3 linked regions of the Rattus norvegicus genome follow. The protein of the gene in region 3 purifies or fractionates together with the protein of the main gene of each other region. This does not show direct contact. Links are inferred from orthologs where the notes say so. Each region holds a gene or a part of one and is shown on either strand. Other genes may lie near its edges.

Region 1 (4,292 bases), on a different chromosome or scaffold from region 3:
ACTACACACCTCCTATGTACAAGTCATACTTAGTGGGCCAAGCTCCCTGCCTTCCACATCATTCCTTCCTCCTCGTACCAGTGCCTTGGGCAGCAGTGGCAGCATCACCGGCCTCAGCAGCAGTGCTGCTCCTTGTCACTAGGCTAGGATGGTAAGGAACGTTAGCAGCAGCTATTTTTTTTTTGAAAGATGATTTACACGATGCTAAAATCTACACTACAATTAAATGAGGACTGCCCTGAGGCATGAGCTTTTCAATCCATTTTGTTCAGGGAACCTCCACTGGGCACTGTGAAAATCAGGTGAAGTACTACCACTCTCCAGCGGTCTTTCTTTCACGAGTGACACACATACATGTTAAGTGATCTGACAACGTGAAGAACTGCTCAGATCCTAAGGGGACATGCATATGCATTAAATGACCTGACAACCATGAAGAACCGCTCAGGTCCTAAGGATCACTTTCTTGTACAACCTACAAAGCACTAATTAATCTCCAATCACCTGTACAGAAACTTGGCTGACTCTTCATGCTCATTAAGATCATGTCTTCATTTGAGTGATAACAAAAGCCCTATCATTATCAAAGTGAGAGGGCTAGTCTTGCCACTGAGACAGTTTTGTTCCGGTTACTATTTCAGGGGCTAAAATGTACTCTTCTGTTGCCCCGAATCTCTTTTAGTGATGGCTTGCTATATCCAGCCCACCTGAAACTTTACTTCTAAATGAAACAAAACTATCAACTGGGGGGAGTTGCCCTGCATTTTTGGCTTTAAACTTATCTCTGAGAAGACCCCAGTTATGTTTTGTTTGGACAACTTTCTTTCTGGAGTAACTGGGAGCAGAGAGTAACTAGTACATTTTAGGAGCCCTACACGGACATGATACATGCAAATGCTTTTCTTTCTTGCAAACATCTCTTTGTTTCATATCAGATACAACCCCTCTCACATATTTGTTTGAGAAGTTCAGAATTTACACCTTAAGTGTTCCTGACCTATCAAAGTCAGCGTTAAGACCAGCCTGCACATTTTCTCAAAAGCTCACAGGAAAAATGGGGTAGGAGTGCTGCAGAAGATACACAAGAGCTGGAGCCGCTTATTCTGGAATAGCTGGTCCTTTGGCCCTGTGGGGGTAAAAGGTTACATGCCGCTGTAGTACACTCACCTTGAGAATTTTTACAACCACCCTCTCATTGTTGGTGATGTTAATGGCCTCAAATACTTCACTATACTTGCCCCGACCAAGTTTTCGAACCAGTTGGTAATCATCTTGATTACTGTGAAAGGCAAGAGATATTGTACATAAATGCCAGGATTTGGGATTAAGCAAGCGTATGTCCACTATACATCCATCCACCAAGTCCAGCTAATCAAAGTATTCCTGACATCACACCTCGACTCATTCTCTAAATGAAAGCCACACAGAAGCTTGGCTCCCGTCATTCTGCAGAGCTCTTAACCTCACTGACTCTAAGCACAGGGAGAAAAGGCAGCTATGAGGCCTTATGAGCCCTGTTAAGTGGACTGAGCAAGGTATCCCCCTGGTAGTACTGGGGTGCCCGCCTGCCCGGGGCTCCACAGCACCTGCCTCCCATTTTACACCCTCTAGGGGGGCCATGTTCAAAATGTTCCTCCCTCCCAGCCTCATTTCAGAAAGTAAAAAGGTAGAGATTTTAACAGCTCAAGAGGACAGACATGGACTTCCCATCCCATAGGAAGCCCAAAGTGTGAGGAGGAAGGGCCGCCCCCACCCTGACCCTACGCTTCTCCCCACCGGCTGCTGAGCCGGGGACCGGGGACCGAGGCCGGGCGGACAGGAGAGGCCGGGGACACGTGCGGCCGGGGTCGGGCCTCCCTGCCAGCCCCGAGGCCGAGCGGCCGGCAAGGTGCGGTTCGCGCGGGGGGCGGCCGGCGGCGGCTTTACCCCCAGCTCGGGACGTGGGCTTCGTAGTCCCAGTACTCGCGGCTCCTCAGGCTGTTCACCTCGGCGTAGACCCGGGCCCGACTGCCCGCGGCCGGGCCGGGCATGGCGGGCGGGACCGGGGGGCGCCGCGGGGCGCCGAGGGCGGCGGCGGCGCGGCGCGGAGCGCGGGGCGGCAGGCGCGGGAAGCGGCGGGCCGCGGACCGCCCGAGCAGGAGGAGGAGCGCGGCGGCGGCGGGCGTCCGCGCCAGGCCGGGCCCGCGGGGGCGGGCGGACGGACGGACGCTCGGGCCGGGGGCGCGGGAGGCGCCGGCCAAGCCGGCCCGGGGCCTTCGGCAGCCGGCGGGACGGCGGGGTTCGTGCTCCGCGGCGGCCTCCGCTCGGCTCGCGGCCCCCAGAGGCGGTGGTGGCGGCAGCGGCAGCGGCAGCGGCAGCCACCGGCCGGGAGAGGGGCAGCGGCGGCGGCGGCGGCGAAGAGGGAGGAGGAGGAGGCGGAGGAAACCCGGAAAAGGGGCCGAGCTCGCCAGGAGCGGCCACCGCCCAGCCCCAGCCCGCCCCTGCCCACAGCGCCCCCTACAGTGCCGGGGGACTGTGGCCGGCGCCCGCCCCCTCAGCGATCTCGCCACCCGCCAAGCAGAGTGGTAGTCTGCCTGCCCACCCGCAGGTCACCCCTTAGGAGCCCTTGCCCTCGACTAGCGCCGCTTTTAGCATCGCCCCTCAGTCCAGTCACCTCGTGTCAACCACCAAGACCTCCTATACTGGCCCTGAGCTGATTTGCTTTAAACCCAAGAATCCTCACCTCAAACTGTCTCCCTTCCTCACTCCTCTTTCCCCCTCTAGACTCCACCCTGCTATCCACAGATTTCCCCGCCTTCAACCCCAAGAGGCAGAGAACTTCCATGCAGAACCAGTCTACTACTAGATCTACCCTATCCTCTCAGTTCCCCGTCCAATTCCCCTGGTAGCCCACTGAGTCATCTTTTAGGCTACTTGGTTAAACTAGAGTCCGCTGGGTAGTTTCCCCATAAAATTATTGGTTTTTTTTCCCTTTGTATTGAACCAGTCGTTTGTGGGACATAATTTAAGACTGTAAATATGCATTTTTGTTTATTTGTTTGAGAGGAGGGAGAACTGGGGAGTGAGGAGTTCGGCCTCGAAGGAGAGACTAAGGGTTGGTGAACATACAAGCTTTGAACAGTCTTTGATTTCCTGGGGTCCCTGACTATCTTGTTCTCCTGTCCATATTTTTTTTTTCACACCAGAAGAGGGCATTGGATCCCAATACAGATGGTTGTGAGCCACCATGTGGTTGCTGGGAGTTGAACTCAGGACCTCTGGAAGAGCTGTCAGTGCTCTTAACCTCTGAGCCATCTCTCCAGCCCCCTCCTGTCCATTTCTTTATCAACAAGGATCTCCTCTCCCAACCCAGGTTGTTCTGACTTCTAATTACCCCCACCACTGTTTTCTAGATGAGACCATGTTCCCTCTTTATATACCTAACTATCCGGGTTCAAGTCCCAGTTCCGTAGCTTACAAGTGATGCTGATTTGAGCCAATGACCCAACGTCTCTGTGCTTCAAATTTTGTAGCATCAACCCAGCACCTATGTCACAGAGCTATGCAGAGACTTAAACCATGTAAAGTGGGAGTGCTCAATATTAAAACACTACATGTTCATGCTGCTATTAAACGCTATCACCTTTCTTTCCCTGAGAGCATCACATGTCCATCTTCAGTTCCTTCTTCTCTCTGAGCTTGGCCAGGGGGTACCTCTGCCACCCCACAAATGACTGGCTTTTTTTTTCAACTCCTTAAAGGCCACTTTCTCTGAAGTTGATACTTCTCTCAATGACTCATCCACTTGACATGAGTTCTCTCCTGGTTTACCATCTGTCCCCTTCCTGTGAAAACAATTTGAAGGCATGGCTTGGGCTGGGTGGTCACCACCAGGTCACTCAGTGCCTGCTGTAGCTGGAGGCCTTCAATCAACATGGTGCTACTGCCCCACAGATATCATGCTGGTTACAAAGGGGACCCTGAAGGTCAGATGCAGGGACGAACTGACCTGTGTGATTCATGGAGAAAGGACACACCACTTACACCTGCCAAAAAAGTTCTACCTGCATCCAACCAGACACAGCCAAACTGAGGGGTGGTTCAGCAAAACATCCAGTCCACACTGCTAAAAAAAAAAAAAAATAACAGTGCCACACCAAAAAGAAATCTTGAGGTGCTGCTCTTGATGAAAGGGAACTGAGAGCCACCCCTGAGACTGCACACTACAATCCTATCTGAGTAGTAGATTGTGGGTTCAAAGCCAGCCTGAGCTACGTAGTAAAATCTTGTTTTGTTTACTTTTTTATGGGGAG
Region 2 (4,192 bases), on a different chromosome or scaffold from region 3:
GATGGTCAGTTCTCAGTACCCATATGGCAGCTCACAACTGTCTGTAATTTGAGTTCCAGGTAACCTGACACCCTCACACAGACACACATGCAGGCAGAATACCAGTATACACAACAAGAAACACATTAGGCTTTGTTGTTTTTTATTTATTTTTTTAAAAGTCATTTTGTAGGGCTGGAGAGATGGCTCAGTGGTTAAGAGCACCGACTGCTCTTCCAGAGGTCCTGAGTTCAATTCCCAGCAACCACATGGTGGCTCACAACCATCTGAAGACAGCGACAATGTACTCATATATACTAAATAAATGAAATATTTAAAAAAAAAAAAAAAGTCATTTTGTAAACTGCTCTGTGATTCTTTAGGTAAGGGTGCTTGTTTCCAAGTCTGACTACCTGAGTTTAATTCCCAGAACCCACTGCTCTCTTACCTCCATTGGTTTGCCACAACATGTGTGTCCTGTCTTCACAACAAAACGCAGTCAGATCTTACTCATTTGCTTTCTTGTGTCTAGATCAGGATAGCTTCAGACTTGCCAATGCTGCCTCTTCCTGACCAATGTCAGATGTCAGTTGTTGATTAGAATTAGTTTAGTTTTATAACTATCCCTAAGAGTCCTGCGCTTTCTTCTTAGTTGTTGATGATCTATATAGTCAATGTAATTTGCTATTTTTGTTTTATTTTTAGCTGCTGTGCCTTATTGGAGAATCTTTTGATGACTACAGTGATGACGTGTGTGGAGCTGTTGTCAATGTTAGAGCTAAAGGTGATAAGATAGCAATATGGACGACTGAATGTGAAAACAGAGATGCAGTCACACACATAGGGTGCGTTGTGCTCCCCTCCTTGCTTCCTTGACTATTTATTAACTAAATGTAGACGTCCTTTACATACATAGCTTTAGACAGTTGGATTTATAAACTTTTTATTTTCTTCGTAAATGTTTTCCTGGGGGCTGGGGATTTAGCTCAGTGGTAGAGCGCTTACCTAGGAAGCGCAAGGCCCTGGGTTCGGTCCCCAGCTCCGAAAAAAAAAAAAGAACCAAAAAAAAAAAAAATGTTTTCCTGGACACAAGTTTGGATCCTGTTAACGTTGAATGTGTTTGTCTTTTCTATTGCTGTAACATGGCTTTGCACTGGTGGTGCATGCACTGTCTAGGACAGCTTCCTCCCATACTTAGAGCCCATGTGTTTATAAGTTTCTCTGTTGAAAATTTTATTTTTTATAATTCATACACATAAGTTTTGCTAGAAGTCTCTTTGATTACATGAAAATTAGTAAAAAGCAAAATGAAGTTTGATTCTAAGTGGAATTTGCAATGAGTCATTGTTGACTTGTCATTTTTCATCTTTTAGTATTAACATTGACCTGTTAGCAGTGTTGTATTTCTTCAAAAAACAGAAATTGCTACAGAACTTTTTGTGTCAGTATTAGATGTTTTGAAGTTTTATAACTACCTAGAAGAGGCTTGTGCTTTCTAAGTTGTTGATGATCTGTATACATCTTAACTTCAGTTTTCCAAGGAAAAAGTTTTTCAATGCTTCCAGCTGACACAGTTTAACTTCTTGTTGCTGTGTGCGCGCACACGCACGCACGCGCACACACACACACACACACACACACACACACACACACACACACACACGTACATTTTTTAATAGTAAAGAGTATTTTTAAAAAAACTGTTACAATGTCATTTCATACTAATTGCCTTAAAAAAAAAACAAAAACAAAAAAACTTTGGAAGAAGTATGATTCTGCCAGGGGTAAAACTGTGGAAATGGCACTTTTGTTTTAGTTTTACTGTTTGTTTTTTGAATGTTCTGTATTATTTCTTTCTAAGATTAAAAATTAAGTTCTCTGCTCTTTTCTCAGGTTTTTGTCGGTCTTATTTTATACCCACTTACAATCTAGCCACACAGCTTTCATTTTTATAGCTTTTGTTGTTTCTTCTCAACCTTTAGATGTGTTTCATTCCCTGAAGATTAGACTGTTAACACCTCGACATCCCTCCACCCACCCACCCACTTGAAGCAGGGTCTCTGTGTACCTAGCCCTGGCTCTGTCAGAACTCACGCTGTAAACCAGAGATGTGCCTGCCTCTGCTTCCCAAGTGCTGTGATTAAAGGCGCGCACCACAATGCCCAGCCCCCTTTTGGCCTTTTAAGGAGAGATTTCTCTAATACTGCAGATGAGCTTTAGACCCTCTGAATTGTAGTTGATAGTCATATACCTAAGCCCTGTTTAGTACACATCACATTTTATTTTTAAAGTAGTCACAACTAATTTGAAAATTGGTTTGTGAAGTTGATACATAAGGCAAAATAGAATTCATATGTAAATAGAATTTTTATTTTACTTTTTGAGATAGGATCTTGCTATGTTAACCAAGCAATTGCTGTGAGCCCGTGAGCTGATTCTGATTTGCCCGTTTCTGTTTGGTATAATCGTACCTTTTTATTAGTAGTAATAATAAAGACAAACCTGGTGGGATTCCAGTTGTCTGTAACATGATTAAAGTATAGTTGTGAAAGTAAAGACTAATTTTTAATTTTGCTAGTTATACTGAAAGAAAATGAACACATTTTGATTTGCATTTTTAATGCATCGACTAATACACTACAGCTTTATAAAATGCATTTAAATCCTTTTTCTTTTTTAAAGAAATACTAATGTTTCTTGTCTCCTGTGTCTTGTAGGAGGGTATACAAGGAAAGGTTAGGACTTCCTCCGAAGATAGTGATTGGTTATCAGTCCCACGCAGACACAGCTACAAAGAGCGGCTCCACCACTAAAAATAGGTTTGTTGTTTAAGAAGACACCTTCTGAGTATCCTCACAGGAGACTGCGTCACGCAATCGAGATTGGGAGCTGAACCAAAGCCTCATCAAAGCAGAGTGGACTGCACTGAAGCTGACTCCATCCAAGTGTTGCTAAGATATAAGAGAAGTCTCATTCGCCTTTGTCTTGTACTTCTGTGTTCATTCTCCTCCCCCACCCCAATTTTTGCTAGTGTGTCCACCATCCCAATCAAAGAATTACAGTATACGTCACCCCAGAACCCACAGATGTGTTCCTGGCCCGCTCTGTAACAGCCGGGTAGAGTTACCACGACACACACTTGCCTTTCCACAGTATTCGAAAAAGAACGTGCATTTCTGTCACCTTAGCAGGAAAAGATCTGGTTTTGTTCCACTCCATGCAGGAGCGGATTTGCTGGTGTGAGAGTCTAAGTACAGCTTTCTAGCAACCTTCTGTTTTCTGTCACAGCATTGTCCTTGCTGTCCTCTTGCTGATGGCTGCTAGATGTTAATTTATTTGCTTCCCTCCTTGATAACATTAGTGATTCTGATTTCAGTTTTTCATTTGTTTTGCTTTTGTTTTTTTCCTCATGTAACATTGGTGAAGGATCCAGGACTATGACAGAAAGGTGGAATAAACATTACATTTGTGCATTCTTTGGTAATTTTTTTGTTTTTTGTAACTACAAAGCTTTGCTACAAATTTATGCATTTCATTCAAATCAGTGATCTATGTCTGTGTGATCCCTAAACATAATTGTGGACTATAAAAATGTAACACCATAATTACATTCCTAACTAGAATTAGTTGTCTGCTTTTGTATCTTTATGCTGTACTTTAACACTTTGTATTACTTAGGTTATTTTGCTTTGGTTACAATGGCTCAAGTAGAAAAGCGGTCCCATCCATATTAAGACAGTGTACAAAACTGTAAATAAAATGTGTACAGTGAATTGTCTTTTAGACAACTAGATTTGTCCTTTTATTTCTCCATCTCTAGAAGGAATCTGTACTCCATATTGCAAGGCAGTCTCTTGTGTCTTCTTAGTGTCTTCCCCATGCACAGCCTAAGTTTGGAGCACTAGTTTATTATTATGTTTATTACAATTTTTAATAAATTGAATAGGTAGTATCACATGTAATTAAACTGATGTGGCTATCTTTTTTGATAAAGTTAAGACACAGTTTTTCAGTCTTAGGTTAATAATGTACTTAGAATATGTTAAAATTCATGAGAATTGGGATTTTGGTGTATCACCATTTGATAGGAACAGTGGCTATAAACTGAGTGTTGAGTTTAAGATGTTTTTACTTAATGGCCAGAAAATTAGAATAAGGAAGGTTAGGGGAATGTGCATTAGGAACATTAGTGTTACTATCTGAATAAAACATA
Region 3 (4,292 bases):
TCTTGCTATGTACAACTCCTTCATAACCTTCTAAGTAGTTACATCTACGTTTCCACAGGTACCTGCAAGCAGAATGCTTATCCTGTGTACAGTAGTTACTTACAGGGACTGTGTTTCCATCTCGAGTTTAAGGTTACAGCAGAATTCCTTTGACTAATTTTAAATTCTAAGTACCTAACAACTCTATGACGCATGAAACTCAACGATGATTTCATTTAACCACACAAAATCTTTTACAAATTAAGAACCAAGAAAGTCTAAGCTTCTACCAAGCACATACTGCTTCATTTGTTTTTCTACCAGTAACTGTTCTGTAACAGTGGGAGCAGTGAGTGGGTCTCAGCCTGATAGAGAACCATACACTACAGCCGTCCTACGATAAAACAGGGTCAACATAAACCTTGGGTAGACATTTATTTCTTTAATTAAACAGCTCCAGAGACTGGAAATTAGATAGCAAATTCAAAGTATTTGTTATGTGGCAAGTCCCCGATACAAAATTCTTTTGTTACAGAAGCTCACAGTAGGGCAGTTACAGAATGCCAATATACGGTTAAAGGTTACAACTACAGAGACACTGAGATTAGAGTTCTGGACTGAAATAAAATGAAGAGCAGGAAAGATATGTGGCAAAGAAAATGCAAGTGTGTTCTGATAAAAAGACAAGGTATTAACTCTAAGTTCCTGTAAACGCCTACTCTGTCAAAGACAAGGGAATGTATGGTATGGTCTCCTATGTGACAGAGGATGACCAACAGTTGCTGTACCTGAGGTATGCCAGCCATTAACTACTTGCTATAATATTTCATTCTCACAAAAACTGTCTGCTGGGGCTGGAGAGATGGCTCAGTGGTGGAAAGCACTGGCTGCTCTTCCAGAGGACCTGGGTTCAATTCCCAACACCCACATGGTGGCTCGTAACTGTCTGTAGCTCCAGTTCTAGGGGATCTGGCACCTTTAGGCATACATGCAAGCAAAACACCAATGAACATAAAATAAAAATTTTAAAAAATGTCTGCTGCCCTTGGAAAACAAAACAAAAACAAGCAAAAACCTGCCTGCTAAACAAGGCTCTGACGGTGATTTGTCAGGGGACACAAAGCTAGTAACTGCTGGAGTGTGACTACAACCCCTGTCCTCCCTACAGTTCTTGGATCATCTTCTACGGTGCATGGCCTGCTAGAAGACCACCAGTAAGAGATGATGGGTACAACTAGAGTGGACTGCAATGTCTAAAAGCTGTCACCGAGGCAGAGAGGAAACAAGGCTGATAGGCTCAGAAGTCCCCAGAGAATGATATTCAACAGTGTTTAGTGCTTTTCAAGTTTACAAGCTACTTAAACATAAACCACTTCCCCAAATCTGTAATACAGGCAAAGAAAAGATTACTCTTCATCTTGAAGGTTAGCAATGATTGTAAACATGGAATCATGATTGTAAACACAACAGTTTGTGTCCAAATGGAAATCAAAGGAGAGTGAGAGGGAGGTAGTGTGTGTGTGTGTGTGCTCGAGTGTGCATGAGCAGGAACTTGGAGCTGAGCATATATAGGTCCCCCCATCTTTATTAAATTGGGTATTTCTTATTTACATTTCAAATGTTATTCCCTTTCCTGGTTTCCAGGTCAATATCCCCCTAATGCATATATAGGATTTTCTCTAGGAACCAGTATGTGAGAAGACCTTGGGACAAGCGTTTGTCTGAAAAGTTCAGGAAAACAAGCTATATATCCAGAATATGTTTCGAAATAACCTGTTTTTTTTGGTGAACTGGAGGAAGCTTTTGACACATCCTCTTCCCTAACGTGGGTGGTGGGTACGATCTGTGTGTGTTGGGGTGGCGGTAGGTCAGTGGATAAGAGGGAAATGTGGGTTCTGTGTTTAAACAGGTCAAGGGCTTTGAATTTGCTGGCATTTGGGCCTTCGTTTTTGGCAGCATGCCCTCTCTTTATCTCACTCTTGGGAATATAAAATAATATGTAGCTCAATTATCGCAAACTATGCAATCGCTCATACGTATTCCTTGCACATGCCTGTGGCTTAACTGAAATTCGGCAGGATTCAAATCATTTGGGAAGGCAAGCCACAGCAAGAAGGTGCAACAAGATAAACAGGATAAGAATTCAAGGACGATGAACGAGAATAGGAGGAAGATGGACTGAAGAAAATATTAATTTCTCCAGAACTTACCCAGCAGGGTTCCGATAACTCGGGCAGCTCCCTCGTTGCGGCGTTCATAGCTGTCCACGATCGAGGCCAAAATGACTGGATGTAGCCTGACCACGCGGCCGCCAGGAAAAGGCCCCGGGAGGGCCGGCCCGGGCTGCGAGGGCGCCGGCGTCTGCGCAGGGGCTGGCGTGGAGGTTGAGGTCTGGCCCGGAGCTGCAGGCGTAGCTACAGCAGGATCAGACGAGACGGGAGCCGGTGCCGCAGCGGGAGTCGCAGCCTGTGCTGGAGCTGGCGTGGGTGGGGTCGGGGCTGAAGCCGGGGCTGAGGTGACGGCCGGCGCCGGGGCTGCGGCTGCAGTGGCGGGAGGGACACTAGCCGGTACGGCTGGGGATGCCATCTTGCCGAGAAAGAGAGAGGCTAGAACGGAAGGGCGTGAGTTGGTAGTATTAGAACCTTGATTGGCTAAATTTGTACCACGTGACCCATATCTTGCTCACTATTGGGCATTGGAATTTCCGGCTGGTTGTAAAGTTTAGTGATCTGTGTGCGCTTTAATTTCTGTCCGATGCGCACTCAGTATGTAGTAAGCTAAAGTAGTTCCTAGTAACTTTGGGACCTCCTGGGGGTGGGGAGGAAGCAACTAGCAATCTACACAATTGCCACCAGGTGGCGGCACAGAGTAGTGTAAAAGTCTCAATTCTTGTTTTAGGCTTAAATTGGATATTAAATATCAGTCTTAAAGGAGATTCATTGTTGCATCCATTTAACTTATTAGTCAATCAGTCAATTGAATTTTGGATTCATAATTTACTCCGCAGTCCACGCTGGCTGGAGCTCTCCTTATCTCTGCTTCCTGAATGCCCATGCATAGTGCTTTCTTTGTGATGGCTTCATAAGGTATCACTAGGAAGGCATATTCATTCAACAATTTAAATGTTTAGTATGCACCAGGCTCTTTTTTAGGTACTTGGGTATACAGGTGAACTAAACAACAAAGGGTTGCATTCTCTTGGGGGAAAGAAAAGGATAAAGTAAATCCTATGTTAGAAAATGCTATGATAGTAATCATCGTATTCCTTGCCGCCACCACCACCACCACCACCACCACCACCACCACCACCACCACCACCACCACCACCACCACCACCACCATCATCATTATTTAACCGTGCTATGAGAAAGAAATGATCAGTGGAGGTTATGAAGGCAGAAAAGTTGTGAAAGTTTAGGTTAGGTCACAGTGAAGGTATCAAGCTGGGGTGGAGACTTGAAGAAAGCAGGCAGCCAGCTATTATTTGCGGTTTTGGAGGGAGAGCCCTTCTGGTGGAGTGAACAGTTAGTGCAGAGGACTTAAAGTGAATGAGAGCAAGCCTAGTACATTTAAGGAAAGGATTTGGTGGCTAGATAGCATGATCAAAAGAAAGGATAGATCTGTAAGCAGGGGCAGGAACTGATTATTAAGATGCCTCTGCTGGAGCTGGAGAGATGGCTCAGTGGTTAAGAACACTGACTGCTCTTCCAAAGGTCCTGAGTTCAATTCCCAGCATCCACATGATGTCCCCTTCTGGTGTGTCTGAAGAGAGTGAGAATGTATTCATAGCCAGTGAATGAATGAATGAATAAGTAATAAACAAATCTTTAAAAAAAACCTTTATGCTATAAAAAATTTTGGCAGTGGAGGGATGGCTCTGAGAGAGAGAGAGAGAGAGAGAGAGAGAGAGAGAGAGAGAGAGAGAGAGCTATCCACGTACCCACGACTCTAGTTCCAGAGGAACCTATGCCCTCTTCTGACCTCTACAGGAATTGCACTCACGTGTACGTACATTCCTAATCATAGATACACGCATACACAATTAAGAAAATAAAAAAAAAGCATTTGTGATTATGAAAAATGAGTGTTTTATGATCTTCAGGCAGCAAGTATTGGTTCAATTCTGAGAGCCAGCAGACTCAAACCCTGTGAACCAATGTTTTAGTTTTATTCAGAAGACCAGAGGAAACTCATGATCCTTCTCAGAGTAAGAAGTATAGAGGTTCTTTTTACTTTCTTTCTTTCTTTTTTTTTGAGACAAGGTTTCTGTGTGTGGCCCTGACTGCCCTAGAACTCAGAGATCTGCTTGGCTC

Evidence for each region.
Region 1: the proteins of Eif3f (region 3) and Csnk2a2 purify together in Homo sapiens (affinity purification with mass spectrometry; 3 studies listed by BioGRID and IntAct, with this or other methods). This does not show direct contact. The link is inferred for Rattus norvegicus from reciprocal best matches to the Homo sapiens genes EIF3F and CSNK2A2.
Region 2: the proteins of Eif3f (region 3) and Eif4e purify together in Homo sapiens (affinity purification with mass spectrometry; 3 studies listed by BioGRID and IntAct, with this or other methods). This does not show direct contact. The link is inferred for Rattus norvegicus from reciprocal best matches to the Homo sapiens genes EIF3F and EIF4E.

What each region holds. Positions count from the first base shown.
Region 1 is NC_086037.1:9,560,454-9,564,745, reverse strand, and holds the start of Csnk2a2 (casein kinase II subunit alpha'), read right to left. Parts: upstream 2,407-4,292; 5' UTR 2,031-2,406; coding exon 1,927-2,030; intron 1,920-1,926; exon of another isoform or gene 1,777-1,919; intron 1,280-1,776; coding exon 1,168-1,279; intron 1-1,167.
Region 2 is NC_086020.1:229,768,115-229,772,306, forward strand, and holds part of Eif4e (eukaryotic translation initiation factor 4E), read left to right. Parts: intron 1-684; coding exon 685-824; intron 825-2,696; coding exon 2,697-2,811; 3' UTR 2,812-4,192. UniProt on the Homo sapiens protein: Acts in the cytoplasm to initiate and regulate protein synthesis and is required in the nucleus for export of a subset of mRNAs from the nucleus to the cytoplasm which promotes processes such as RNA capping, processing and splicing.
Region 3 is NC_086019.1:172,367,359-172,371,650, reverse strand, and holds the start of Eif3f (eukaryotic translation initiation factor 3 subunit F), read right to left. Parts: upstream 2,590-4,292; 5' UTR 2,566-2,589; coding exon 2,190-2,565; intron 1-2,189. UniProt on the Homo sapiens protein: Component of the eukaryotic translation initiation factor 3 (eIF-3) complex, which is required for several steps in the initiation of protein synthesis.